2 linked regions of the Arabidopsis thaliana genome follow. The protein of the gene in region 1 interacts with the protein of each later gene in a pairwise test. Each region holds a gene or a part of one and is shown on either strand. Other genes may lie near its edges. The genes, in order: KAN2 and ULT1.

What was found.
Region 2: the proteins of KAN2 (region 1) and ULT1 interact in a two-hybrid assay, tested with the Arabidopsis thaliana proteins (one study listed by BioGRID).

The regions. Positions count from the first base shown.
Region 1 is NC_003070.9:11,620,988-11,637,890, forward strand, and holds KAN2 (Homeodomain-like superfamily protein), read right to left. Parts: upstream 9,759-16,903; 5' UTR 9,369-9,758; coding exon 8,657-9,368; intron 8,587-8,656; exon of another isoform or gene 8,561-8,586; coding exon 8,484-8,560; intron 7,055-8,483; coding exon 7,009-7,054; intron 6,878-7,008; coding exon 6,733-6,877; intron 5,800-6,732; coding exon 5,739-5,799; coding exon of another isoform or gene 5,679-5,738; exon of another isoform or gene 5,021-5,678; coding exon 4,895-5,020; 3' UTR 4,629-4,894; downstream 1-4,628. UniProt on the Arabidopsis thaliana protein: Probable transcription factor that regulates lateral organ polarity. Promotes abaxial cell fate during lateral organd formation. Functions with KAN1 in the specification of polarity of the ovule outer integument.
Region 2 is NC_003075.7:13,974,692-13,989,006, forward strand, and holds ULT1 (Developmental regulator, ULTRAPETALA), read left to right. Parts: upstream 1-10,331; 5' UTR 10,332-11,061; coding exon 11,062-11,348; intron 11,349-11,756; coding exon 11,757-12,101; intron 12,102-12,184; coding exon 12,185-12,359; 3' UTR 12,360-12,751; downstream 12,752-14,315. Other genes in the region: AT4G28140 (Integrase-type DNA-binding superfamily protein), read right to left, coding at 214-1,092; AT4G28150 (hypothetical protein (DUF789)), read right to left, coding at 2,951-3,144, 3,232-3,323, 3,411-3,496, 3,581-3,761, 3,846-4,066, 4,138-4,221; AT4G28160 (hydroxyproline-rich glycoprotein family protein), read left to right, coding at 5,699-6,034; AT4G28170 (uncharacterized protein), read left to right, coding at 6,944-7,270, 7,780-7,884; AT4G28180 (uncharacterized protein), read right to left, coding at 8,220-8,990; AT4G28200 (U3 small nucleolar RNA-associated-like protein), read right to left, coding at 13,117-13,197, 13,289-13,472, 13,547-13,719, 13,797-14,237. UniProt on the Arabidopsis thaliana protein: Putative transcription factor that acts as a key negative regulator of cell accumulation in shoot and floral meristems. Negatively regulates the size of the WUSCHEL (WUS)-expressing organizing center in inflorescence meristems.

The sequences.
Region 1 (16,903 bases):
GTTGAATAGACTATAGTGGATTTAATACACTAGACAAGTTTTTTCTTTGTAATTTACATTTAAAATACAAGTAAAGAGAATGTATATGTATGGTTTAACAAAAACAATTATATATATTTATATATATGTGTGTCAGTGTGTGAATGTATAATTTATGTGTATGAGAGTATATTTTGGTGTGTTTGTAGGTATGTAATTTGGCTGTTTATTTAATACGGAAGGGAGAGAAAGAGGGAGGCGTTGGTTCCCGCGAGAATTTCGCCTTATTATCCGTTGTCCTCTTAGAGAATAATTTATTTTTGTTATATTTGTCTTCTCCACTTTTCTGCATTATTCTTTTCTTTTTCTCTTGTTTTTTTCTTTATACAAAAAAAACTCTACAGAAATTTTATACACCTACTAAACTATCATCAGTTCATTACATTAATTAAAGAAACAATGTCTCTACGTCAAATATTAGTAAATTGATTGACATTACTGAATTAATTTATTAATATTCTGCAAAAATTATATATACCATAGTTTCATGAAATCTTTTCACACATTGACGTTTGAATTAACGTTGATAGGACCCACAACACAGCTTCTTCCCATGCAAAAAGTTCCTCGAGCTACTCAATTAAACACTGCAAACTTCATGAAAATAGTCTCTTCCTTTGCTCTTTAATTTTCACTTTTTTTTGTTTTGTTTTACACTTCTTGGTTAAAAGTTTGTTTTTACATTTAGTTTCATAGTTCCTATCTTCTTCTACTGTATAGCATAAGATTATACATGTGTTGACAATAGATATAATGATACTGTACATGTAGGAAGAAAGTGTTCAAAAAATTCAAAATGCAAACTCATAATAGTCTTGTTTTTGTACTTTTTGGAATTACAGGCTATATATTGAAAAGAAAATAGAGAAAGGAATAAGAAAGAGATGTCTCTTGAAGGGTGAAAACAAGGAGCGTCAACTTTACTGGTCACTTTCTTGTTTATCAGTATAACACCTTTGCAACATTTGGCAATATCGGATCTGACGGCTGACAGAGCAGCAGAGAGCCAACAATCGAACCGTTATGATTACGACACGTGGATGAGTGAGTGTTTGTACGAAAGATCCAAAGTTGAAATGATAATGTAATGATGGTTTAATAATATATGCTTTTGACATTCTGTGGACTTCGTGCTCTTCTGTTCGTACGACAGTAAATAATTTCGACCAGTGTTTCAGTCTTTGCCTCAAACGCAGAGAAGAAAGAGAGAGAGTGACAGAAGCAAGCTCAAAATATAATTATACTATTACAATTTACATATATGAAAAATGTTTTATTTCTTTTAGCTTTTTAACAAAAATATATAGCTCATGTAACTATTACTTCATGTCAAGGGAAAAAAGAGTTTACTTAAATATACATAAATTTGGTTATCTCTAGCTATCAAAGGGAGATGATTTCGATTTTTAGGCAACATTGTTACTAGTCATTGAGTTGCTAAATATAATTGCAAACTTTCTTTTTTGACTCAAAAAGTATAATTTCAAACTTTAGTAGTACACTTTATTTTATGAAATTGTATGATTAAAGTGATAATAATTTAAGAGGAAAGTCAATAAATTTTGGGGTAGCCCAATGAGAAAGGACAGATGAAAGACTTTTAGCTAGGGAGAGAGAATAAGACCAATTGTTCTCTTTTTCCCATAATTCTCCTTCTGATTCTTATGGATCTACTAATTTGTGCCATCTCTCTTTATGTCATTAACATATGCATACATATTATCATAAGATGATTCATCATCTTAGCACCAAAAACTTTGAACGTTTATATACATGTAAAAGAAACTAATCAAAGTTTGTGTTGACTATATGATTAGCTAGTTTTTAGAATGTAAATCTATTGCAGCTTATATAAATATAAGTTTTGTTTGCAAAATAAGTATATGTGATAGCATTTAATAGTTTTGATGAGTGGGTGGGTGTATGTTGCAATTATTGGTGAATGATTACTACCTTTTGCATGCCTTTTATATTCTGTTTTGCTTTCGGAACTTGAAAACGATAATAATAATTTTAAATATATAATGTTTGGGATGTTTCACGTTGCACGTGACATGACAATGACACAAGGCCGTGTTTCAATTGTCAAATGCGACTACCCATACAATGTGAAGACAACCATACTTTCAATTGTCAAATTCTTAGTTATTTTCTTCAAGAATTTGAATGATTTTGAGTTTTCCAATCTATATTTTGGTTTATGAATAGTTCGTAGATCATTTGTCGAGTACATATTAGTTGCCCAATGATAGTTAAATCTTACATAGTAACTAAGGAAGTAAATGGTGTCCCAAAAATTTATTTTCGCCAAATTCATTTAGATAGAAGCTAAATTTTGTTGAATTCTATTAAATTCATCTAGATTTAAGAATTATAATAATACCAACTGATACGGAGATATATTCATGTCAATTCTATATACACAAAATATCATATAATAGATAATATTAGAATTCTTAAACATCGATCACATTTTAAAATGTCCCCCCAAAAAAAAATGTCATAAACATCGATCCGGCAAGAGGCCTTGGCACGGTGGAGTTTAGCTCAAATTTGATTATGACATTGTAAATTGTGTTTGCTTTTTTTTCACTGGCGATAGGTTTAGGTCATTCCGGTCAGCATTTGTAAGAGTTATCTTAAATTCTCACTTAAAGTTATTACTATGATCTTATGTACCGGCTACACCTTCACGAGAGCTTATTTAGACACGAACTCGATCGGGTTTGTCATAGGTTAGGTTAACCCAGTCCAAAGTTTTTCCTATTTTAAGCAAGTTTTTAGTCATTTTTAACCAAAGTTTTCCTCTCACCATGTTGCTTCTTGTTAGATCATTTATTTAAGTTGTGATTAATGGTAGTTTTGATTTGTTCACTCAAACTTTAAACCTTATGCATTTCATGCTTTGAAAATATTACTGAAAATGGTTAAATCAAACATTCATGAGCTTTACAAAACTAACTAATGAGAATTGATGATGATGTTTAGTACTGAACTAATTGGAGTTGTATTGCAATGCTCATTGATTATCTAATTGCAAATAAAATGTCTAATAATTATGTGATAACGGTTAGTACTATGTAAGTAGATTAATCATATTTGTGATATTGAGCTCTGATACAATCCTCACTTGGCCAAGTTTTCAAAACCTTTCTTTGATGACTTGTTCTCCGATCATCTATCAAATTTAAACTTAGTCTATCATTCGATCAGATTTCTCCTAGTTTGAAGTTCGATTCAATTATTATTTTCTCAGTCTATTCGATTAGCCCAAAACTTTTAAAAACAAATTAACCCAGTATTCGATCATTCTTTTGAACATGACTTAGTTGTCCTAACCAAACCAACCTGATATCTTTATTGCAGGATGCAAATGTTAAACATTTTCGGTCTAGTTGTATGAAAAACATAAATTTTCCATTTAATTTTGTTGAAAAGTGCTTTTTTACTCTTTTTAAAAAATAACAGAAACGCTCTTTACTCTTTGTAAATATTATTTTCTAATAAAATTTATATCAACCAAAATAATATTATTATCCAATTAACCTAGACTTAAATTAGTCATATATATTTTCGAATATCAGTGAGTGAAAAACATATAAGGAGCCCAAAATATAAAATATATAGGCACAAATCATCATCATTTTAGTTTTGTTTGAATATTTAACTATGGAATTTCTATTTCCAATTTTAGTATTTGTATCGAAATGATAAAATTACACATAGTAAACTTTATTTAGATAATGAAAACTTTGAAAACAAACGTCTACCGTCAATTCAAATCTAACACCATATCAATTTAGCAATTATTTTATCTCTATTTACTCAGCTAGGTGTTGGTCATTTTCACTGTCGCATATGGATGGCAATCGTCATGCTTAATATAATTATGTGTGCTCGAGGAAGACAAAATGCTGAGAATAGAGTGTTGACGACTAAGGAAACATCAAAAACCTAAGTGAAAGCAATGAACTAAATATTCTTTGGTGGGAATCTACCTTATACATTAGAATTATTCTATTTTTCTCTTTAATGTCTTTTACTTTTTCCCTATCATATATTCAATGAACTTTTGTGGTACGTCGTCCATATAGTATATTTCAAGAACAAGTCCCAAAATTTATACTTTGGACCTAAAAACATATACAAGATTTGTTTTACGAGAATAAAGAGATATGGTTTGCTTTATTGTATAAGTTAATTATCTTTTCGAAAAGCTTATGGTGATAGACAGTTCATATGCTTTCTACCTACTCTAAAACCTTAAGGCCAATCATAAAGGTAATCATTAATCATATATTATCTATCATTCACGTCCATTTCTTTTCTTAACAAAACTGATTAACATTTCTTTTTGTATAAAAAAAGTAGATATTCTTCTTACAACTTTACCCATTCCTTTAATATGTTTGCTTTCTTTCATTCATGTCCTCTTTTGTCATTCTTTCTTTTACACCTTTTTCTCTCTTTTCTTTTTTTCTTTCTACTTTTTTTTCTTTCTCTTTTACGTCTTTCCTTTTTCTCTATTATTATTCTTTATCTATATATATTTTTTTTTGGCAAATCTTTATCTATATTTATATATCTTTATTATCAGATTGTAAAATAAAAGTTCAACCAAAGAGTACTGAACATTTATTGTGCCTCTAATAGTTGATTCTTTCACTAGCTCTTCTCAATAGAGAAGGAAAAAGAACAGTGTGTGTCAAAGTTCCAAGACCAAGATAGGACATTAAGATTTTAAGCTAAAAAAAAAAAAAAACTTATTCAATTGATATGAATATCGAAACTAGTCAGTAGCCAAAATATAAGTTAATTGATACTAATTAATTACTACCTAGCTACAACAATAAATTTAGTGAGATCGACCCAGAGTAAACTCAAGATTTGGCTTGAAAGGGCTTGTTCCCGAGATGCTTGATGAGCTCATCTCTTCTGATGATATTCTCTCATAACTTGAGCACTTTCCATCTAGTTCCTTCTGTTGAAATTAAACCCCAAAAAGAAATCATTAACCAACTAGCTAAATTTTCTATTGTATAAATGGTTTGCATTTTTTTATATGTACTTGTATATGATATCAGCATGTGAATGTAAATAATTTATAAATAAAATATTAAGTGCAGAAATTCACGCAACATTAAGTAAGAGTGATCTCAACATTTAACTAGGGTTTAAGGTTGATATTGTATCATCCATAATTAAGACATTAGTTCTAATTAGATGTAAGCTTACCCTATTTATTGTCCTATGGACTAATGTTTGACATTGACACAAATATATATACATAATTATATTTCTTATTGTTCAATGGAAGCTGCCATGGTTTTGCTTTTGCCCATATTTGCTTATAAGCCAAACATAGATAACCGCACCTCACGGCTTAAGCTTTCACAAGTCACAATATATGCGTGTCAAAGGTCAAAACAAAAACTCATCCTGGTCAATGTCAATGAGATTAGTTTTTTTTTTTTTTTTTCGAATAGTGTCTAAATAGCGAAAATACCTTTTGCTTTTGAAAATTCCTAAAGCAAACTTTAATGAAAGCCCTTTTTGTGGCAGCCCTTTTTAGGATTTCGGGTGACTTAGCAATGAAATGATTTCGACAATGCATAACTAAATTGATAATAGTTCATATGCTACACACAAAACATATTCGCGTATATATAGTTATATTTGTAGAAAGGGATGTATCGTACCTCAGAAGGTAGCATAATTTCTGCAACATTATCGATTAACTTCCCATGCAAACGTGCTTCTCTGCAAAAGCAAACAAAAGTTTGTTATATGAGATATATTTATGATATCCGCTTTACATAAATGAATAAATGAAAATAAACTAACCAAAGAAATAAACAAAAAGAGGAAGAAAGTGAAAAGGAAGATAAGAAATTACAAGACGAAAGAAAACAAAGTGTTTTCCTTTTGGTAATAACAAAGTTATTTTTATCTCTGTCGACTGGCATGGCTGTTTGTTTAACGTAAGCAAAATTGATAACGATTTAATATTATAGTCTGACATATATATTACTTTATTTTAGTATAAAGTTGAGAAATCAATCTTTTCCTCCTGTCCATGTGTTTGCCCATTTGTTCATGTGTTAACCATTTTAAAAGAGCTTTAATTTACTTAAATATCTCTAGATAATTTGAAGTCTAAAGTAGTATATCTATTTTTGTTTTCGTTTTGTTATTGTTAAGTTAGGAAAATAAACTCACTTTATATATATACATTAGATTTATGCATACAAATTTTAGGATTTTACTAAGATTTTCATGTAATGAATCACTTTGGAAATTAGCTTTTTATTTGGGGAAAAGTTTCTTCCACTAATTCGACATATTCATAATATATATAAGTAAGATCATTATATATATATATATATATATATGTGTGTGTGTGTGTTGTTGTGACTGTGGAGAGAGAGCAACACATGATGATTAACCCATCATGTGTTTTGTCTCAACTCGGATCTATTGGGTTTGTGGCTGAGAAAGAGACAAAACAGGACTACAAAGCAGAAACATAAACATTACCCAGTTCTTAACTACGCTAATATAGATATAGAAGCATGCACATGCTTAGCGAGATTCCACATTCCATATAGTTAGTTATATATAGTAACGATGGAAAAATCATCTATATCTAGCTAGGGAAGTATGTATAGATAGACCGTACATATATGTACGTACCCGGAAGAATTGGTCCATAGACCATTTGATTTCTCTAGAGGATTCGTCAATTCCTCGCTATCTCTCGATTTTCTATTCATATCGAACATCCAGTCGTCTGAGTTATTATCTCCTGATGATCCATTTTCATAGACATCAGATTGTCCTGAATAACATTAAGAAGAAAGAAAAAAACAAATTAGGGTTCTATCAGAATCACATTTCAATTAATTATTAAATCATATATATCCAATAATTTGACCCATAAAGAATCTGAATTATTTCTCTAACACTAACCTGACGAAGCTGCTGCTTTGTCGGTTGTCTTCACTGTTCTGTACATCTGATATTATAAAAAAAAAATGTGCATCAATATATAATTAAGAAGAGACCAAAGTAAATGATAATTCGTCTAAATCCGTATATAAAGATTAGAGAGATGCATGTATCGAATTATATGGAAAAGGAAGAAGAGACCAAAGCAAGGAGACCATTGTACTGTTGTCTTCCGACACAGTTGAATAGTACCAACCAATTTTCAAAATAAGAAACATATATACACACACATTTTTATTCTATATATATAATTATATATGCACAGACACATTGGAAGATAAAAAAAAAAACGAGAAGAAAAATATAAAACTGTTCGGACACAGAAGCATTAATTGACATTATTAATGAAGTTTGCGATTTTCATGTACCCATGCATGAATTTATGTGTCTAACCATGGTTAAATTCTAGCCCATTCAACATATGGAGAAGTGGAACCATGGTTAAGTTAATAAACCCTCTCTCTCTCTCTCTCTCACTGTGACTCTGTGTAAGACCAAAACCATTTCATCATTGAGAAATGATGGTGTTTCTTGTACTCTCCCTTTCTGTCTATATTTATTATTATTAAAAAAAAATCCTACTACCTATATATTCATTTAAACTAAGAAATAATCCCTAATTAGATTGTCCTAAGATTTTGTGTTCTTATAGGCATATACAATATCTACATATACATTACAGAAACTATAATCAGGTAATCCTTAATAGATGATAAATATATAAAACATATGATTACGCAGAAACAAAGTCTAAATTTTGGTTTATAACCCAAGAAACAATGGATGATAAGAAACCAAAAGTACTAATGTTTTGATTGATATTCTTAGGAGATTTTTGTTTTTCTAATAATTAGCACAATCACTTACGTAATTTCCCCATCTCTCTATTTCTCTCTCTACCTTTCTATTCTATGTGTGTCAGTAATAGTAATATTGAGTAATTTTTGGTTTACTTGTAACAGGACAAGTTTATTCTTCCAAGACGAAATTTTTTTTTTAGACTTGCAAAAAGAAGACTGTCTATCGTCTATCTATGAGGACCATCAGATCTAACACGAAGAAACGAAGAAGAGGATTTTGAAAAATGTTTTTTTTTTTTTTTTTTTTTTTGTTGTATAAAATATGTATGGAATGTTTATATGCATTTTTCTTTTGTCTGTAACGCAACCAAGGAATGCATTATTGGTATGCAAAATTGGATTTAATTAAGATAAGAATAAAAAAAGGAAGGTTCAGAAGAAAACAAGATTCGATCTCTTCTGACTCGAGTGGAACTCTGATTTAAGGAAGTCACCGAGTCAAATGCATCGATACCCGAGAAGAAGATTATTATTATTAACTAATTACATACTTATTATGTACATTTATCTTTTTCTTCCCATCTAATTATGTACTTAATATGGATGAATTTGTAACAATACTGTTAATCAATTTACCTGTAAATGGGACTTAACATGAGCCAAGGTTAGATCTTTGACATCCATGAGCTCAAGAACTGATTTAGGTGTTGCTCCTAATTAGCAAGTGAATAAAACAAAAACATGTTTAGTTAAAAAGGGTAATTAAGAAATGGAAAAAAGAGATAAGCTTTAAGGTTAAAGGGACATACTTTCATGGCCACCGAGTAATTCAACGGCGTGAACGAACCGGGCATGAAGAGTGGTGGTCCATCGCATCCTAGGAGCTCTCATGCTTCGTTTAGCTGGGAATCTTGGCATGAATCTGGCTCTGTTTAGAGTCTGGTGATGATGATTGTGGTAATTAGGGTTACTAACGCTACTAGTATTAAAGCTATTGTTGTTTCCGGTTAGAGCCGGCGAGGAAGTGGAGGAAGAGGGTATTAGAGACGACGGGTCGAAAGGGAAACATGGCGGTGGCGGACGGTGAGGATGATGATGTGGAGGAGGGTTGTGGTAAAGTGGTATTCCTCTTATTGGTCTTAAGTGAGTATTAAGGTCGTGAGCAAGAAACCCTTGTAAGTGTTGTTGTTGCTGCTGTGTCGGAAATTGGAAAGAGGTCAAGATGTTAGAGCTGTTGCAATTAGGGAGAAGTTGTGGATGATGATGTTGTTGTTGTTGTTGATGATGAGAGATGTTAGAGAGCGAGAGGTCTTGGAATGGATGATTGATTGTTTTTGAGGTGGAATTAGAGACGAGAGAAGATGTTCTTGAATCAAGAGCTCTTCTCCAAAACCCTAAATCGAGTTCTTCATGATCTTCTTGATCTGTTGTTGATCTTCTTCTCTGCCATGTCGATGATGGTTTACTGTTTGGTGGACTTATTTGTAAGGATAAATCGGGCTGAGCAGGAAACAGCTCCATGAAAGAGACCTTTAACTTCTTCTTGAAGAGATTCTTCAGTCGGTTTCCACAGATGATGAACCCTAGTTCTTGTTTTCTTGAATTAGGACAAAGAAGATAAAAAGAGAAAGATATCCTTTTTTATTAAGGGTATAGGGAGGAAAATAGAAAAGGGTATTGAGGATTTGAGGAAGAGATTTCTGGGTTTTGTTGAGAATGTTGTTTATATTGTTTGAGGTTAAGAAGATTTTGCAAAGATTTTTGAGAGATATAGAGGGAGAGAGAAAATCAATGACAAGGTAGTATGTAGTGAATGGTTGTTTCTTTTGTGTGAAGTATATGTGAGAAAATGACACTTGAGTGTGTGTGAGAGAGAGGAGAGAGAAGGTGTTTGTGTGGACATGGGGGGCTAGAGGAACTTAGGTTAAGAAAGGGGGAAGAAAAGCAAAGGGATAAAGAAAATGAAAAGAGAAAAGAGAAAGAAATTGAAAATAAAAAAACAAAAGTGGTAAATGGTAAATAAGGCTTTCTTTTTTCTTTCTTTCTTTGCACTCTTTTGTTTTCTTTGGAGGAGAAAAGTAAATCCTTTATTTGTGTTTTCAAACCATTTTTATTGTTCTTTTCTTAGTCTACATTCCACCTTTTATTTTATCTTTTCACTCCCTTTTTTTTGTTTCTTCACTATAACCAATAAATTTGAATAAATGGAATTTTTAAAAATATATTGGTCTCATAATTAGTGGATTGCTTAAATTGAGGTTAGGCACTTCTATATGGTTTTCTGATTTTGTTCTAATCATTTCTTTAGCGATGGCCGTAAGAGGTTAAGCAAATTAGTGACCTACGAAGTTCTAAGAAAAGTCGAAATGTTCATTTTGTAATAAAGTGATTTTCATATGAAAATTCCTTCGAATGTCTTTTTCTAAACATAAATTAAGTAAAATATTCATCACATGAAGAAGAATAGAAAGGTGAAAACTTTGGAATGGTTTATCTTTAGCATCCCACACGCTCTCTATCCTTTGCTTTTAACTGAAACCCAAGGTTGATTTCTCCTTTTTATACACCCTATATTCATTCCAAAAAGAAGAATAAAATTTTAATAAAGGTTAAATCACAAATATTAAAAAGTAGGAACAAAGAAAAAGATGAAAAGTGAGAGTGAGAAAAAGGAAAAAAAGAGGAACAAAACAAAGTTTGCTTATTTTAGCTTGTATGACTCTCTTTCACATGATTATCACTTTTCTCTTCTCCCTATGTTTTTTTTCCTTGAATTATACCTTAATGATTAAAAACCCTTACCACATGTTTTTTGAATAATCTGTTTCCTCAGAGTGATGTTCAAATCAAGTCCAACATAAACTCTGCAACTGCTACAGTGAATATCTCAATGAACGATAGCGACCAATGTGAATTACTCGAGTACAATTAATAACTGATTCCAAAGTCTCATATATATATATATACGGTATAAACCAGTGTTTGAACCAATCCATTTATTACTAAATACTGCTGAATTGAAAATCTAAAATATTAATAATGTATGAAATAATTCAATTGATTTATTATTATGGTCATTTACCGAAACAAATATTATGTATTACACGTGTTTTATATTATTTACTTCAACACGTTATAATTGAAATTTTAATTTCTCATTAAAAAACTACCTAATATAAAAATAAATATAAATAAAAAGTAAAAAATAGAGTGAAGAAAGTCTCTCAAGTGAGAAACTATGAGAAACCTACGAAGACACTTGTTTATTCTCCATTGATCAAATTTTATTTTATAAGTAAAATCTATTTATATAACTAATATTTATTAAAATACTATTTTTTTTTTGAGAAATCCAAAGAGTATCTCACTGATGGAAATGCTTTTATAGAATATAGACGATTAAAAAAAAAATTGTTTGTTTGGTGTCACATTTGACAAAATGCATGCAAAACAATCAAACTATATACAAATGAAGTTTACATTCGAAACTTCAAATTAATTAGTAGAAATTTGTATCATGTTCATAAAACCAAATTTAATAGCATGTCATACAAAAAGGATTGAAACCTTCTAATTACAGCCAATATTGTTGTTCTTTGTCAAAAGGACAATCAAAATATTTAAAGAAAAAAGTCCAAACCCAATCAAATGCCTAATTTTAAACAATAGTAATTTAGCTATATTGATTTACAAAAAAGTATGAAGAAACCAATAATCACATCACTCACTACATGGAATAAAAGAGAGGTTCATTGAATAACAAAATTTGAATGCTTCAATATTTGATTGACTCTAAAATATTGTCGAAAAGTTATTTGAAGGATACCTGCAAATTTATTACTAGAGATTAAAATAAGGGATGTGTTCAGTTTAACCCATATATTAAATCATCGTGACATAATGGTTAGTAGTGCCGATGACTTAGGCATAGAGATCGGCAAGATACCTCCATAGGGAATAGAAATCTCCATAAGAAAACGACATTTGATCTTAATTTTCTTGAAATTCACAAAGATGTTTCTATAGCTGATTTTCATTTTGATTAATCAAAGCAATATTACTATAAGCATTCTACATTAATGACAAATTATTAAACTATTACTATTAGATTCTTGATTTTGGGTAGGGTTCCCAACAAACCCAAAAACCGGTGTACTTTTAATATCGAACCATATATGCATGTTTGATAGTTCATGTTATTTTATGAACCATGTTTAAATGAACTTTAGAGAGACATAAACCATGTTTAATAGTATTGATTTTATTTTAAAATTGGAATCAAATTTATTTTTTAAATAATGTCGCGAGTCTTATATATAAATAAAAGATTGTAGCTGCACTAATTATTTAGTCTGTTATGTGGTAAGTAGAGAGAGCTTAGAAATCTCACAACATTATTTAGTCTGTTATGTGGTAATTATTTAGTCTGTTATGTGGTTTTACTTACAAAATCGTTAGGCGAAAGCAAATAGAGAGAGCTTAGAAATCTCACAACATTAAATGTGGCAGAACCTCCCTCACTTTTAAAATTATGAAACATTAATGGCAGCAGCAACCATTACGGAGAATCAAATTCTTACAAAAATAATAAACTTTAGTAGTGCATGTGAAATTGCGAATATGTATATAGAGTCGTATTACATGAATATATAGGTAAGTTAGGTACGGATTTGGCTATTGAATAGTCAATGCGGCAATTAGAACTACGGTCTAATAAAACACACACATGCTTCGAGGATGTATATAACTAGATACTTGTCTAGAAAAGCACACATTATTTAAGTCTATTAACCTTGTGGCTCTTGTATGATGATAAATTTTTAAAATATAGAAAATAAATCTATACATACATATAAATATAATTTCTACATTTGAATACAAAACAATAAAAAATTTATAGGAGACCTTGGATATCAATCCAACTGTAATAAGTATGTAACCATCCCGTCGAAATCTTTAACAAAACATTAAGCTGGAGACGAACTTAAAATGGTGATCTCAAACACCATGACCAACAAAACATAGGTTATGACTTATGAGAAATACGATAGATGAATCACCTTTCTAAAAGATTATGTAGGGTTGGTTTTGAGCAAAGTTAGTGAAACATTTGTTTTGAGCGTCCAAAATATTCTAAAATCTACATCATCAAATTATTTGCAATCAGGCTTCCAAATTAATTAATTCTATAGTAAAAAGCTTCAAATTTTCCAAATCATTGGAAATAACGTCAACTGTTTTTACATTTGCCCCCAAAATTTCAGAGCCGTCCTGCAATTATGGAAGACAAACCACAATCTATGTCACATAGAACTTACCATACATCAAATTATGTATGCACATTAGGTTTTAGTTTATAAGTTAAACCACCAATGCTCAACTTTTGACCTTCTTGGAGCTTCAATCCTTTTCTGAAGCAATTTGACCCCTTTCATTTACACAGGAAACTCAGTATGGAGACAGGAATGTTTCTAACATCGAACATCCAAAATCACACTTTAATATTCTCTACATGCTAGAAGACCATAATTTTCATATTATTTGATTTCTAGTTTTTCTTTTTTTTTCTTTCAAATAACTAGGACACCACACATCTTGGGCTTTGTCACAGTTATGTCACAAGATGTGGTGTGTCCTATATATCAACAGAGCATTCAAGTGAGAGCCCTCTATCAAAATTTGTTTGGTGCTTAGATCAAGGGTTGTTATTGATGTATGAATGAACTCAAGGAATTAATTAAGTTAATGAATAAATATGATTCTAGTGAATTCTATGACAAGAGTTCCCGACGTGATAAGTGCTTCACATCGAAGCTCGAACATTTTAAAACTTACGGTGATGACAATTGACAATATCAAACAAACCATTATAGTTTGGGAAGTATAATTTTAAATATTCAATAGTCAATATACCATCATTTCACTATTTAAGCATATTTAGGATATTTCAATCACAACATTCGTTAATTCATTTTATACTTATATTTTGGTGGATTGTGAAAAAGCAAATAGCTTTTAAATAAAATTTCGATATATAAGTACCACTACCACTACGAACCATTCAAATTTTCATATTTTCAAATATTTGAATATGGAATAATAAAACAAACATACACTATTTTTATTTTCTAACTTCAACTCTCGACTGTTCATATCAAATTATTCCAATTCATTAGCTGTAATTAGATTAAATATTGAAAAAAACAATTTATATTCAACGTTTCCAATACATTGATCTTTTTTTCGCAAGTTCACATGATAAATATCAGTTTTTTGAATTTTCTAACAACGTACGTTGATATACACAAAGATTTTAGCCATGTAGATTTGAAAATATGATTACCAACAAATAAAGTAGACTATCATAGATAATTATAAAAAGTTTGATTGGTAAGAGTTACGAAAACTATTTTTCTTTTCTTTTCAAATATAAACCAGGTAACTTAGAGTGTGTTTACTAAGAATCATTTAAAGAAATATTTTTATCAACATTTTTTGGTACTTATAAAACAATAATACAACTCTGATATCTTCTATATACAACCTTCTATTTGTTTAACAAGTTTAACTGTTTAAGACTACCTCAACCACTATGCCACATATGTATGTAAATATATTTTATTTTTTCTTCGAATAAAGGAATTATCAAGATGGTTGTTAGGTAATACTATCTTATACAAAATAAAATAAAATAATTGATTTCATTCTTTGGTGTGATCATACCTCACAAAAAAAAAACATTCTGGTAATGTTCTTTGAATTTCAACCTTTATAGTACATTCAACAAAAGATTTTGTTCCCATTGAATGGTGGCTCTTTTCAGGTGGAATATTATTTTTCTTTAATTTTATTTATACAATTATAAATGTGCATTTTGAATTTTGGTATCCATTTAATAATATTTTAAGTAAATGAGAATATCTTTTCCCAAACATTATTCTTTGATTAGGTTAATCTGTCTACATCATGATACATATACCTCTCTTCTTCCCGCATAATTGTTTAGTAACTTAACTTTTGTTTCACATCAACACTTTTCTCACAATATTTTTTCACAAAGGACTTGTGATAAAAGGTTTAAAGAAAACCAACTTATAAAAACAAAACATAATTATTACCTAGATGAAAAAAAAAGTTAGGCATCGCTATCATTTTCCCCCCAAGAAAATTATAATCTACACAACTTTAACATAATATTGAAGTGCAAATATTCAATTCACTACTGATAAAACAAACTACACTACACAGGTTTTTTTCCAATTAGTAAAAACAATTCAGATATCATTTTCCTACTTTCGAAAATAAGAATTATTTAATTTCACATATTAAAATTATTTAACTAATTTTAATTTTAATTTAGTTCGTAGGAAAATCATAGGTACCAAAATAGTTGTAGAAAATTAGTAGGAGAGATTTGGTAGGATAATAGTAGAAAATATTCTCTTATGAATCTTTTGGTAAGAACATGGTGAAAAAATACCTTTCATTTTTCTACAAAAATTTTTACGAGATTTTCTACGAAAAGTTTTAGTAGGAGATTTTCTACGAAATTTCTATCAATATTGATTTCCTAAGAAATATTTTTTATAAATTATTTTCGTAGAAAAACGGTAGAAAAATATGTTTTCTATGAATTTTATACGATTTTGGCCGTAGAAAAACTTGTTTTTTTAATAAAAGATGTTTAAGATATTTTAGTAGAGATATCTCATGATATTTGCAGCTATAAAGGTAAACGTAAGTGATAAAATTTTGAAACAAAAAAATTACAAAATTGAAATAATTAAGTTAACAAATATATATAGTAAAAATGTATTAGTTTCTAATAATTATTATGTAATTTTATTATGGTAGTTTTCTATGTAAAGTCAAACCATTAATTTTTTGAAATCATTGTTGATTTGGAAAACCAAATGGAAGAAAATAATTAGAAAACAAGTTAGTCAAAAATTACAAATATGTAATGTTATACATGAATTGTTAAAACATAATGTATTATTATAACTTATAACTTATAAGTTATATATAGAGTTACCATCAGGAATTTCTTTCTTACAACACGTTATCGATTTTTTTGTTCTTTGTTTATGTTTTGATATATAATAGTGATTACTAGGATCAATTATGGGATCGTCACAAAAAACTTTGTGTCATTGTCTCCCATATCATTTTTCAATATTCTCATAGGATTAGGTACTTTTTTCTCATTTGAATGACCATTTTACCCCTTTTCTCTCTCTTTTGTCTCCATTTTCACTATTGTTACAGATAAGATGCAACACTCCAAGCAAGCCATGATCTTCATTTTCCTTTAAAGAAATCAATAGTGCAATTTGTCGTTGGTTTGTATCTGGATTCGAATTTGATTTTGCAATTAGGGTTCTTATGAAATTAAGATCAACTTTTAAGTGTAATTTCCAAAATAATCCCAAATTAATTGTTACGAGAGATAAGAGTTTGGGTGAGAAAGAAAAGGCCGTCTCTGTTGATAAGATGTTGTCATCTTTAAGGGATTCAAATAACTCCTTGGATCAAGTTTATCCAAGTAACTCCCTATCCAAAGTTCTCAAAATAATTTAGATTCTTAATTAAAATTCATAATTGATTCAATATATGTCTATGATTGAAGCATTTGGGTTCCTTATATTCTCGGTAGGGTTTAGATTTTACTCATCAAAACGAATTTAATTGGGATTTATTGGGTTTAATTATTTTGTTTGGGTTCCTTTTGTACTATCCTTACGGTATAGATTTTATTATTATTGGGTGTGTGATAAAAAACAAAAAAAAATAAAGACGAAACTGAAAATTTCTGGGAAAATTAAGAAGAGAAAGAAGCAAAGAAGAAGTAAGAAGAAGAAAGAAGAAGAGGAAAATCGAGAGCAAAACCGTTATTTCTTACAGGAGAATGTGTCCAACTCCATTAACCCAACAAAGTGCTATTTTTAGAGTTTTTGAACTTAAATGTACCTAAATATGTAAAAGCCTTGCGGTTACTATCCACACATAAAATAAAAACACCATGGGATTGTAAGTTTTCTATTCCAAATTAATGA
Region 2 (14,315 bases), on another chromosome or scaffold:
AACAAAGAGGACATCTATGTATGTAGCAATAGGGAAACACATACAGACACATAATAAAAACAATGATAATGATAGAAATACAGAGAAAAGGTAGACACATATAATGACTGATATGTGGTGGAATGGGAGATCACAAAAATTGCCTCCATCCAAATGCCAATGAGCATAACCCTAAACTATAACCTACAACACAATGTGGGTTTATAAACTTTTTCAAAAGAAAGGCCTCATAGGACAAGAGAGAGGAGAAGAAGATGAGCTTTCTGATGAAAACTGATGAGAACTATCCAAATCATCCCAAAGAGGACTTTCAGGACCCCATCCCGATGTAATGGCATTGTACCATGCCTCAGCCATACCTTCCTCTCTCCCAACATCAATCACCGGTAGTTCCTTGCTCTCCAAGTTAACCTCGCTTGGCTGTGGCGTTTCAGGTTCTTTCTGATCCGACGAGTTTGAATCATGCAGCTCGCTTTCCTTATTCACAAAATGCTCCGGGAAATTCAGTGTTGCGCTGTGGCCTCGTAATTTGAAGGCTTGGCGGTCGTAGGCCATGGCAGCTTCTTCAGCTGTATCAAAGGTACCAAGCCAAAGACGTGCCCTGCTTCGTGGCTTACGGATCTCTGCGACCCATTTTCCCCATTGACGTTGTCTCACTCCTCTGTACAGCTTCGTTGCGATGTAAGGTTGAACAGCTTCTTGGCTCATCATCATCATCATTCTTCCTCTTGGACTCAGATTCAATGTGTCACTCCAGTACTGGGCCATATACTGCTGCTGCTGTTGTTGTTGTTGAGGACTAAAGGAGATCATTTGCTTCTGGCCTTGCATTGTCGGGTCTTGTCGTTGCTCAAGTACCGGAACGTATGATCCGAGTTGTTGTTGCTGATTCTGAAGTGTTGGATCGAGAGAAAAAGGGAAAGCCTCTAACGAATAAGGAGAAGAAGAGGATTGGAAATAGGGTTTAGGACGACTAGGACTCTTCATTTTCTTCATAGATCTTGGGGACGTGGAAGAAGCTTCTCCTCCAAAAGAATGATCAACATTTTTACCTTTCGTAATACAAAGATTTAGCTCCTCGTCAAAGTCCATCTTTGCTTCACTGATGCCTTAAAGACGTGGCAGTTCACGATTTGCCAAAACAGAGAGCAATGGAAGAATTTGAGAGGAGAGAGCTAGGAAAACAGAGAAAATTATGTCTTGTTTTGTTCTTATTTGGTAAGAGAGAGACGACTCTACATGGGTTTATATATGAGGGCAAGAATTAGATATTTATTTTTTTCAACGAAAGATTTTGCTAACCGCTTTTGTAATTTGTATGTCCCATCTATCTATTGACGACTATTCAAAACTATCTTTTTGGGGTTATTCCTTTGCTTTTACTCCAATTCATTGGCCAATAAGAAAGTTAAGAAAATGAGCATTTGAAAAATAGAGAGATATTGACACATAAAAACACAACGCGCAGAGATGAAAACATTAACGTCCGTACGAATACGTGGCATTCTCTGTTTTTTTGGACGGTGAAGGCATTCATTAGTTCATATCCTTCAACTTTATTTAGTTATTTTCCAAGCTTTAATTTTCGTAAGGCGACACCACTTACAAAGTTAAAAGATAAGATTAGACTGTAAAAAACATCTATAATTTAAGAGGTTTATGCAAATTGAATGGAGACAAAAAAAAATGATGTTGGTGTAATGGTCGGCTAGCCGCGGCAAAGGATAATATCCCATAACCATAAGAATGACCATTTTGATGACAACCAAACGTAGTACTAATTATAGTTTCAATCTTCCGGGTCGGTGATTGGTCAAACTCAGCTTTCGCTTTTTTTTAAGATATTTTTGCTTATTATTATTCCCACCTCCCCTCAAAAAGATACTCAACTCACAAGACCGACCAAGTTTGAAAAATTCACAACTAGAGGAATTTCATTTCTCAGACAAAATCATTCTTTTTTGGTAACTAAATCTCAACATATTATCTCACGTGCATATCGACTATGCGTGATGTTATTCTTCATATCTTCTATTTATTGTGAGGAATAAACATAGTCTATAAAGATTTCAGGTGGAAAATCCAAACTAATTGTTGGAATTTACAGTTTTATTTATTTATCAACTTACAGTTTTTATGTAACTTTTTCTAGTGGCAAAAAAGAAGATGGGTGCAGAAGAAAATCTACTAAAATCTCTATAAGAGTATTATTCTTAAGAAAATTCGTGAATATTAAGGCACACATTTATTCTTTTTATTTTATGAGTTAATATTGTTGTGTATAATACTATAATGTGATAATGTTTAGAAACAGTATAGTTTTTTTGGTGTAATTTTAGTTAGGGGTGAGCATAAAAAAGACGAACCAACTTTATTTTGGGCCAATGATCCAATTTATCAAATTTGGACAAAAGTCGAAAGAAGCCTAAAACATGATCCAATTTTAAGAGGTATCTTCAGAAACAATCTAAAACACCATAAATAATTCCTAGTAAGTACATAATATCAGAATATTATATTAGAGGCTAAGAAACTAAATTTGAGATAATTGTAACATAAATATATCTAAATATCATGTAGAAAGTTCTAGAGATTTTTGTGATAATCTTTTATGTAAATCAATATATATCTCTGTATATATCTTCTTCTTTTTTGTTATGAAATTTAGAAAATTGTTAAAAAGAGAAGGATACCAAAATCAAGAGAACGTGCGTTTGTACAAACAGAAAGCCACAAAACATTAGAAAAGAATAAATGTATTGAGCCCATCATCATCAATCTGACCCCAAACTAAATTTATGATATAAAAGTCTTGTGAAGAAAAAGTCAGTACCTATCCTTCCCAAAGAGTCCCAAGTAACAACAATCCAACATTATTGATATGTGCTACTCTTAAACAACAAAGCTAAATAGACTGTTAACCAAGTAATGATCTAAAACACTACATATATCAAAGATAATGAGTAGTAGTGGTGAAGTAGGTGAAGTCATGGTGGTGGACCCTTAGCTGCTTTAGCCAAGAATCTGCTACGCTCAAAAAGCAAAGCAATCTATCATTATCCCATAGCCTCCCTTGCATCTTGTAAGTGGCCATCCCAAATGCACTCACACTTATCCTCTCCTTCTCCTCTTCCCTTTTTACATCTGTTCCAATGCCAAGGGACTTTAGAAATGGGGAATGAATGTACTAATACATTAATACACACTTCCAAGAGGAAAGTGAAAATGCACCTTGGAAAGATGAAGAAAGCGTGTGGTAAGTGAGGAAGCAAGTAGACAAGTCTTTTATGCTTCTATTCATGGGAATGTGATAGATTGGATACCTACACATACAATCAAACATCGTCACCATTTTACTACATTAACCTTAACTTTGTTTTCTGAAACAAGAAAAAGAAGAAAAGGCAGACCAAGCAACAGCCATCCAACTCGCAGGAGACAGATCAACACTCCTCAATGACCTCAACCCTACGTATCTTTCTCCCAACTCTTTGATCTGAAAGTAGACAGAGACTTATGGAATCATAAAACAATGAAAGAAAGTGCTTCTGGAATCAAACTCCAAGAATGGGGAACAAACCTTATCCATGAGAGGGACTCTAGAGTAAGGTGTACATCTCTCGAAATACTGCAAGTAAGAGTAACCGAGGCGATCGAGAGGTTCTTGATGATCAAACCCTTCTTCAGACGAAGAACATCCTTCCCATCTCCACTCCTCGCTACACGACTCGCTCCCTGAATCCCCTGATTCTGTCTCCTCCCTAAATCATCATTCATCGCAGCGACATGTTAGATTGTTGAATATATGCTTGTGTTTATGAAAATGGCAGCATAATGATCATTACCTAAGAGTATTGATAACAGAATGAGAGGTGAAAATCTGGATTGCAGAGAGGTAAGGAACATAGTATTGGACCAATGTTTCGCCCGTTTCCGATACAATGGGGACACCTGCACCGTAAGCACTCCACTCGTCGAAACAATCCCAAAAATCTCCCAACCTGAAATACTCGACGCTCTGGCTCTCCAACGGATACCATAGAGGATTAAGGTTCTTGATCTGTGTCTGCCAAAAAACACACAGTTTCAGATCCTAAATTCAGAGAATTGTTTTAAGAAAAAGAAAAAGGCGTAAACCTTTGGGAGGGAATAGGCAGGCACAATCGGTGTAGTGCAGCGTAAGAATCGGTCTAGGTTAGATTCACTGTCAAAAACCATCATTATCCAACAAAGAACCAAACTTCGACCCAGAAAAAAAAAAAAAAGAGAGAGGAGAGAGTATTGCGGGATTCTCTTTCCCTGACGTTTCAAAGAGCTTAGTTTTCGGACAAAAGTGTTAGCTTTATTAGACGAGCATTTGAGACTTTCACGGCAATGTCAGAAACAGGGAAAGATTGAACGAAAAGGGACAAACTTTTTAAAGAAAACTCCAACGGAACTCTGTTTTGAGCAATGAGAAAAAAAACAAGTAAAATTGTATCTACTTTGAGATAAAAGAAAGTAAGGAAATAGGTTTATATAATCAACCAAACTCCATGAGACCCATTCTTCTAAGGCAGGAGATTATTGGTAGATTCACCTGTCTTTCTCACAACTCTCCACCTTCTCCATTTATTTTCATTTTCATTTAATAAAATATAGTTTCGTTTCTCTAACTTTGTCGGATGAGATTGAGTTTTGTTTGTTTGGGTTTAGTATAAAACGTTATGGCTTCTTAATATCTTCATTTTGCATAGTTCGTGAACAACACAACAAAACAGAGCTATTATTCCTAAGTCTTAGATGATGACATCTCCCAATACAAAGTCTCCTTCTTTTGGATACATCTTGAAAGAAGAGAAACTAGGTCGATCACATATAACAAGATTTCAAGAGAAACTGGGTCAATGACTTTTTTGTTTACATATTATAATTCATATGGTTTAAAAGAATCATTAACATAAAAGGACATGTGTGACAGGATCAGTCGGCAATGTTGTAATCCAAGTTAAACTAAATATCTACTATAGAAGTTTGACACATTCAAATAGTACGACGACATGGGGATAATAAAAGTACGGAAACACTCTTTGACTTTTATGGATTTCTTACAAATTTCTATCAGACAACTGTAGAATATGCCGCTAGTCACGTAAATGTAATTATTAAAACATTATCAAAAGATTGATCGGAGAAGAAAACTCAAGAAATGGTCAAATATGTTTTACCAACTTCGTAAAGAATAAAGAGAAAGTAAAAGAAATCAAACTCTTTCAAAGTGGAAGCCGTCGTCTCTCGCTGACTTCTTCTTCATCGGTTTTTCTGTTACTTGTATGTGAAGCCAAATAAACCTGCAGAATTCACGGTTTGAATATGAGAAGAAAGTAGGATTTTAAATAATAAAAGAAAAGTGAGAGAGAAGACAAAGACCTCGTTGCACAAAAGCCCATCACAACCAAAATTACTAATTAGACATGTGTGGCAAATGTTATGACTGATCATCATGCAATAATTCACCGCCAATACCATAGATGCTACCAGACTTTGTAGGCTCTCTCTCTTTAGTAAATAAAGCACTTTGTTTATGTTCGTTTAATGTACCCATAATTAGCTTTAACTATTTCACTCTACTCTATATATTACACACACTATCTCTTCCATCTTCCCTCCACAAACCACACATTCAAGCTCTTACCTTTTATCCTCAACTAACACAACAATGGCTTATACTCTGCAAAATCTGACAGCCACAATTGTTCTGGTAAGCCTGATTCTTGGATGTACAGAGGAAGTAACCGGAATGCGTTACATTCCCATTTCCCCCACTCCCAGTGAGAGCAAACATTCAGACTTTCCTGTAAACATGGTGCCTCAACCATCTAGTCTCATTCCTGGTTTTGGAAGGTTCTTGCTACCTCCCACACCTAAGCTGCCATTCCTTCCTTACAAAGATCCCCTTGCTGTTGCCCCAGCCACTTCAAATGGAACTCCTAGTAATAAAGCCCGCAGTCCGAGTTCAGGAGAAGATGAAGTTCCACCAGTGCCACAACCATGACCTGTCAACAAATAAGCTTTTGCTAGATGCAGAAGGGTATTCAATTCTGGTTCACATAACAAGTATACTAGTCATTTCATCATAGTCATATATCTTCATGATCTCTCTCTATATATACTTAAGAGGATATTGAATAAATTCCAGAGCTTTTGCTTACATACTATCTAAAAATAATATTTCCAAATAAAATGTAATGACTCACATTGCTGCAAATGTATTGAGTCACAAAAGAGTAGAAATATGTAGAAACTCTTCAATTGAATCATTATTGCCATGATTGAGTCAAAAGAGAAACTCTCTTTACAAAGTCTGAAATTTTGTCAAGATATGTAAAATCTCAAAGTTTCAAAGTAATCTCAGCATTAGCATTTAGCATTAACAAAACCAACGACAACTACGATGTATTAACAAATCAAATTTGGAAACTTCTAAAACAATGCGATGATAATGGACAAAGAGATGTCTTGGAAAAGTCTATTGGAATTGAAGTTTCTGTCTATCCATAGCGAATTGGAAAAAACGATCACCATGACCAAAAACCAAATCGATGAAGGTTCGTTCAAACACCCAATACCTTGAAGATGATATAACAAAGAAAGCAGAAAAATATAAAGAGGAAAAGATAATCAACGAACACGAAGAAGTTCGTGGATCCATGGTTTCGGTTTTTCATCTTCGTCTTCTTCTTGTCCTCTGACTCGTCCTCATCAATGGGTTCAATCTTCGCCATTGTAGTCCCCGTGACCAATACGCCGATCAAGTTTTCGCGGGATTCCGAGATTGCTCTTCTTCTCCGATCGATTCGTCGTTCGTGTTTTTTCCCTCTGAGATACTATTATAACTTGAGCAAGGTAGGCCCATTTTGGGACCATAGGCCCAATAAAGAGAAAAGCCCAAACTACGTACGTAATGTTGACTAGTCAACTAAAAGTGGGAACTTGGGCAATGAAACGATCTTTTTCTACATCTTGTTCCTCTGTTTCACAAGTCTCTTTCCAGTTACAAATGAGCAGCCACGACCATAGAAGGTTTGGAACGGCGGGTCCTTTAGCTGCGGACGAAGAAGGTCAAGGACGTTTTGAGAGCTCGGTGAATGCGGTGCCATTTGGTTTGGTTGCGACCGGAGTTTTGATTGCTATCTTCCTCTTAATTGCTTTTTTTGAGAGGTTCATGTTCGTTAAACCAACTCCATCACCACCTCTCGACCAAAAGTTTCCTCCTTTTGCTTCCCCCAAGGTTCATAACATCTCCTCTCTATTTGCTTTTATATTTTTGCCTACGTTTTTTGTTCTGTTGTTTTTTTACTTAGTCTTTTAACTCAAGTGAACATTCTGATTCACTTGGAATTTGCATCTAAATGAGGTTGTGATCATCAAACATTTGTGATTCATAACTATGCTTGTTTTTGTTGGGTGGTGAGATTAAGATGAAATAAACCTGCCAATGCGTATAAGTTATTAAGTTTAATGAAGTCTATCGGTCAGGATCATGATTTACCAGGGTTTATGCTAGAGGAAGCTCTTTTGTCGTATCTTTGAAAAATGGTGCAAAGTCCAAAACAGGATTACATTAAATGTATTATTTTATGGGGATACAAAACCCCTTGATTCATGCAACGAGGTTTGAATATAAGCAGAGTAGAAAATAAGATATGTTTAGAGGAATTCACTACCTATTTGTCGACACACTAGTTGTCTTTTGTGAGATGATGATGTCATGTATAATCTTGTGTTGTTTATTTGCAGATGGATGTGTGTAAAAGAGAGATATCGGTGTTGATGCCTGGAGAAGATGTCCCAACGTTCATTGCTCAGCCATGTCCTCCCTCATCATCATCAAGCTCTTTCTGAAACCTTCTTTCATCTCATTAAGTAGGACTTTTTATCAGACAAGTGTTTATGTAGTCAAGTGTTGTTAAACAGAACAGTGTTTCTCTGTTTGTGTCTGCTTATCCCATAGCAAAAGAGCAGCAATCTCCATAAAATAAAAAGCCATGGAATTTGTGAGCGTTGTTGCGTAGGCTTGCCTTTTACTTTACGAGTCCACAATAAACAAACCAAAAACGAAGATCCGCATAAGATTTGGTTAATAATTATACATTCCGCAATTTACAAATCAAAAAAAGGGAAAGAAAAAAAACAATCAATCACATCAGAGTTAATAATGATGAAAGGAGAAGAGATCATCAGAGAAAGATGAAGCATTCCATGGACACTTCAGGGTCTCTCACAGCTGTTACATCTTCTTCCTTCTTTACCTCAGCAGTTACTTTCTCCGTTTCTTCTTCCTTCTTCTTCACCTCTGTTGCTCCGTCTTTCTCCGGAGCTCCTACTCGTTTCTTCATGGGGCTTCTTCTTGCAGAACTCGGGGCACGAGTGGCTGGAGACTGTGAGCGACGCCTCGGATTATCCGATAACCCGCTCCGTGGGAGTGGACCCGAATCCACATTTCGCCGGTTGTGAGTAGGGTTTGGTTGACGAGACTGTCTCTCTCGGACTAACCTAGGACGGAGCTGCTTCCCCTGAGGAGAATGTCGTTCTGCCGGAGATCTGAGGACTCTGTCAGGCCTGTTACGGCGAGAGGTGGAAGAAGAAGGAGGAGGAGGACGGTGAGGTTTGCTGAGAGCATCGTCTTCGAGGATGGACGCAGCGGTAGCAGTTGTGGCAGTGGAGTAGCTGTGAGAGACAGAGACGCTGCAAATGTCGGACTTGCTGTGAGAGATCTCCGGAGCTGGAGGTGAGAGAGGAAGAGGAACTTGAGCTTCTGAATCTGAGACTGTTGGTGCGGAAGGAACGAGGTCGGGGACTGGGACAGGGACGGAGATGGGTATGGGGACGGAGACAGAGACTGATTGAACAACGACTTCTTTGACGGATTCTTCTTCGAGGGGTGGAGGAATTTGAGCGGCGGCGACTGGTGGAGCTGTGACTTTTCCGGCGCTGAAGCAGCATCCCATTTTCTTTCTACTTTTGCTAATTCCTCTCTCTCTCTCACTCTGCTCTCTCGAGAGTCGCGAGTCATATACTTGTCAACTTTAATGGGCCTCTTTCTCATGTTGGCCCATATTCACTATGGGCTCGATTATGCTCTTTTGTTTTATCCACTTTGATAAAGAATCTGATATTTGTCTCATTCATTCATATCTTCAAAGACAAAACGCTAGTGTTTGATTTTCTTTAAAATATTCAAAAGAAAATTATGCGGATGGACAAATATCTCGTTAGATAGCGACCCATCATCGTTGGGATAATTTCAACACACAACTGCCGATTGCCTTGGACAGGGACACCGGACATGTAACGACAGTAAGTAAAATGCTTAATACTTATACTACCAACATCTTCCTTTTGGTCGTCAAAAATGTAGTTGAAGATAAGAACTGACCATCATTTTTTAGCTCATCATCCATCCACTATGTTGCATTTACCTCATTGTTGAATAAGAACGCGTTGAGCAAGCTACTTTTTCATCTTTAGTTGGTTTTGTGTTAAATAAAACTTGAAGTGGAAAGAACCTAACATCGTTGCTGCAAACTTGATATTCGAATATTTATAACCACCATCTTAAAAACAAAAACAAAATATGAGAAGTTTAAAAACATGACAAAACTTTGAGTAGAAATCAGAAAGGGGCCAAGGCTCGTAAACTTCTAAACCCCAAGCCCATAATAAATGTTTTGAATCCATAAGTTCACTCCCATCCGCTACTCTTTTTTTCAGTTTCTTGGGAACAACTAGGAGGAAAGAGAGTTTTTAAAGTTCAAAGTAAAGATGTTGTTATACAAAAATTGTGTTGACAACTTATTCATATTCATGTCTCTGTAAAGATGTTGACATAATTATTTCACTTTCTTCAAAAAAAAAAACTGGCGACATTTTCTTTAATTCTCATTTATCCATTATGTACTTTTTGTTTTTGTTTTGCAACCCATCCATTGTGTATGTACTTAAGATAACAACAACAACAAATATACCATATATAAATCATATGGTCTACATACAACACTAGTATCCTCATCCGTATTAAAAAAATGAGTTCCTCGAACACATATAGCTACAAATATAGAGATATGACTTTGGGGTTTGAGCGCATTGCAGAATACCTAACAGGCATAGATGTCAATGACGTCGTCGTCATGTACTTGGTTACTAGTTGTTTTATAGACAACTAGTTGATTAAACCTTTTCTTTTAACAATTAAACAAACCAACCTTTATATATTTCTTCAACTTTTATTTTATATAAAAAAATAGCCAATAGGTGTGGTGGTGAAATGACTCGGTAACCAATGAATCCTGGTGAAAGGGAAGAGCCAAGAATTTGCAGAACCTCAAAGGAAAAAAAAAGGACCTTTGAAAATTACAAAATCAAGAACTTCTTGAAAAGAAGTAAGTACAAGAAATAGAAAAAGGAGTTATGACATTATAAAACCAAAGAGGAACCTGAAACAATTGACACAACCCTATTCCTCAACTTCTTCTCTCTTATGTCTTATCAAAAGCCTCTCACCCACCGCCTCTGTTCCTGCTCCTCTTATCAACCATAGAAATTCTCTCTCTCTTCCCTATATACAATACAATGTTATGTAGGTGATACATACTATAACATAGTTGTATATAAACATTAATATAATGGAGAGGTCCCATGCCCCCACGAGTTTTGTTTTGTTGGCCAGCTAATTCGCATCCTTTTTGTTTTGTTTGTATAAGAGAGTTTCTTTGTTACTTACTATAACCACAAGACCACAAGAAGGCCAAAGAGAGGCTAAACTAAAAGAGCTCTCTTTCTAATTTATTTCTCTCTCTTCTCTTCTCCCGAAAAGCCCTTAATAAGCTTTTGCTTTGATATCAGATCTCTCTTACGGCTTTTGAGATGCGTGCTCCTTTAGGGCTTTCCTTTTATACCCCAAAACGAGGCCTTTCCTTCTTCTCTCATCTCCTAATTCTACCCTCTTCCTCTTCCTCTTCCTTCTCTCTCTCTTCTCATTCTCCTCATACGCTATAAGGAGAAAATCTCAGAGAGAGAGTGATGGCGAACAATGAGGGAGAGATGCAATGTGGGTCCATGTTGTTTAAGCAAGAGGAGCTACAAGAGATGAGTGGGGTCAATGTTGGTGGCGATTACGTTGAGGTCATGTGTGGTTGTACCAGTCACCGATACGGCGATGCTGTTGCTAGACTTAGGGTTTTCCCCACCGGTGACCTTGAAATCACCTGCGAATGCACACCTGGTTGCGATGAAGGTCTCTCTTTTTTTGTCTCTACTGTCTCTTTCTCGTGTCTTTCTGATGCTTTTGGGAAAATGGGTTTTGATTTGTGTGCATGTTACATGTGAATGTGTGTGAGATTAAACGTTTGTCTCTGTCTAGCTACTATCACATTGGGCTGGTAAAGCTAGGGTCTTTAGCATGATTACATATTTATCAATGAGTCTTAGTGTATGCTAGCTAGATCCGTTCTTGTAGAAAATGAAATGACTTGATTTGCCACAGTAATGTTTTAGGCTGTCTGTTTATCTGTAAATGGTAATGCGTCTCTTTGTTACTGGCCAAGTGGTAGCTTTATTGACAAATGATATGTCTCGCTTAGCTGTACGTGTATGTCAAAGTTTGATGCAACCTAGTTCTTGTGGTATCTTGTAGCTAACAATTCCATCTCTAGCTTATTTGGTATAGATGCTCATTTAGAGCTCTCTTTGAAAGTAAAAGTGACTGACTTGAACAGTTTTGATTGTATGATGCTAGACAAGTTGACACCAGCTGCATTCGAGAAGCATTCTGGAAGAGAAACGGCAAGGAAGTGGAAAAACAATGTGTGGGTTATCATTGGGGGCGAAAAGGTTCCATTGTCAAAGACAGTATTGCTCAAGTACTACAATGAATCATCAAAGAAGTGCAGTAGATCAAACAGATCACAAGGTGCCAAAGTTTGCCATAGAGATGAGTTTGTTGGGTGTAACGATTGTGGTAAAGAGAGGAGGTTCAGGCTGAGGAGCAGAGACGAATGCCGCTTGCACCACAATGCAATGGGTGATCCAAACTGGAAATGCTCAGATTTCCCATACGACAAGTAGGTGTCTTTTGTTGTCCTTGTATGTACTTAAGTTTGATGCAAATGATGTATTATATCAATGAATGGTGTGGTGGTCGTAGGATAACATGTGAGGAGGAAGAAGAGAGAGGGAGCAGGAAGGTGTACAGAGGGTGCACACGTTCACCTAGTTGCAAAGGCTGCACTTCCTGCGTCTGTTTTGGCTGCGAGTTATGCCGTTTCTCTGAGTGTACTTGCCAGACTTGTGTCGACTTCACCAGCAATGTCAAAGCTTGAAGAAGGCAGTCCATTAAGAAAAGAAAAAAAAATGTCTGTCTCAGACTTTGTTCGTTGCATTTAATAACTTATTCTAAAACTCCAAACAGTTAATTATCTTATCTATGGGTTGTGAATGGAGCAATTGAAAAAAAAGTAGAAAAAGTTGATTTCCAAGAAGAACATGCAGACGAGCATGCCTGAGTTTAGTGCATGTCTAGATTTTTGGCTAGTGGCAGGGAAAAGTGTTATTAATAGTTTGTTGTTACTCTTTATTTTATTAGCTGTTGACAGCTTTGTGAGACGAAGTTGTCAATGGCACAGCTACTCGGTCTGTGATTTAGCCATTTAGGAGATGGGACATGGAAAGAGACATTTTCTTAATACCCAAAAAGCCCTGACGTCTTGTTTTGAACACAGTAACCATATGGGATCCCTTAAGTGATGTATACTTTTATTATCAACAACAAACATTAGAATCATAAAGACCAAGTCGTCACCAGGTAAAGAGGATACGAGAATAAATTCATCAGAAACATGTGAAACATGTGAAACGTGAAACCAAAGACGTAGAGGCATGTATGAACTTCAACATGTTTTTGTATCAAAAAAGTGTTTTAGAGTATAACTAGACTCATAAAGTAGTACATCGACTCCTGTTCTGTTACAACCAAAATTCATATCTTAAGGATCACATAACTGAAACCTGCATCCACAAATACGAGGCAAACATAGTGTTTCCTTCATCATACATACTAGACTACCTATAAATCAGAGATCAAACTATGAAATCCGCGGATTCATTCAGAGTCTTTCTCGCACGCCAATACACTCCATTGGCTGTCTCTGATGTTCCCAGCTGCAATAAACATCAGAAAGATTGTCAGTTAGCATACTTGACACTAAGTCATAGTATTGGTTTTGGTCAGGGTATTAAGAATCCACTTTACCTTTGTCTCCAATGAGTAGTAATTCTTCCACAGCTCCACGTCTTGACCGTAACTTGCAACAGCAGAATCATACAGCTTCCGGGCATTACTGAGACCATCTTTATCACCTACTGATATGAGGTTGGTCTCTATTTCAATGCAACCTTTGTATAGAACAAGACTGGGACCAGGAAGAGCCAAGAACCTGCAGTTTTACGGTAACAGTGGTGAGAATAAAGTCCATGTGTGACTCAAGGGACTGGAGGAGTAGTGACTCACCTCTTGTATATCTTCCTCGCACTGTGGGCCCCTTTTGTTTCAAGAACAAATTTCACCACTGTGGAAGCAAGAGAAAACACATGGTCGCTCCCATGGCTTTTGGTTGCTGATAGGATGGACATCTCTACAAGTTTGTCCAAATAAGTTCGCTGATGAGCAAAGAAATTAAAAGCCTGCAATACAATAAGCATTTTATTAGTGTAGTCTTAACAAACTAGTGTATTGTCTAGAAAATATATTAGTCACATACCATTAGCCACAAGCTCTCAGATTCTGAGATCGGTACTTTCCTCAAAGCATTTGAAAGGAGCTCAAAGACTGTCTGAAAATCTGCTTTACTAGGAGATGAGTTCTCTGAAAGTGATCTTATTTCAATGGAAACTCTTGAAAGCCACAACTTAGCTGATCCAGCAAATTTTTCAGAGCAGAGCTTTTCTGCTAGCTTCTGAGCTTCATGAGTCTTTTCCAGTTTCAAGTACAGAGAAACATATTCATCAGCAAGCTCTTCAGTCAAACAGCCAGTTTCATCAGCCTTTTGGTACACGTTTATGATATGTGAAATGATCGGATTAGACAAAGAGGAGATTTCATTCTCGTCGCCGTTTGACTGTACAATAGCCTCCATCAGAAAATTTATATAAATCTCAAACATAGAACTTGACGTAACAGTTTGCAAGCCTTCTTCAAAAACCTGCATTCAGGGGACAAGATTTAAGACCTATCAGATATTGTACTTTCTAGTTTCTACTACTAAGCCGAAACAGATTGT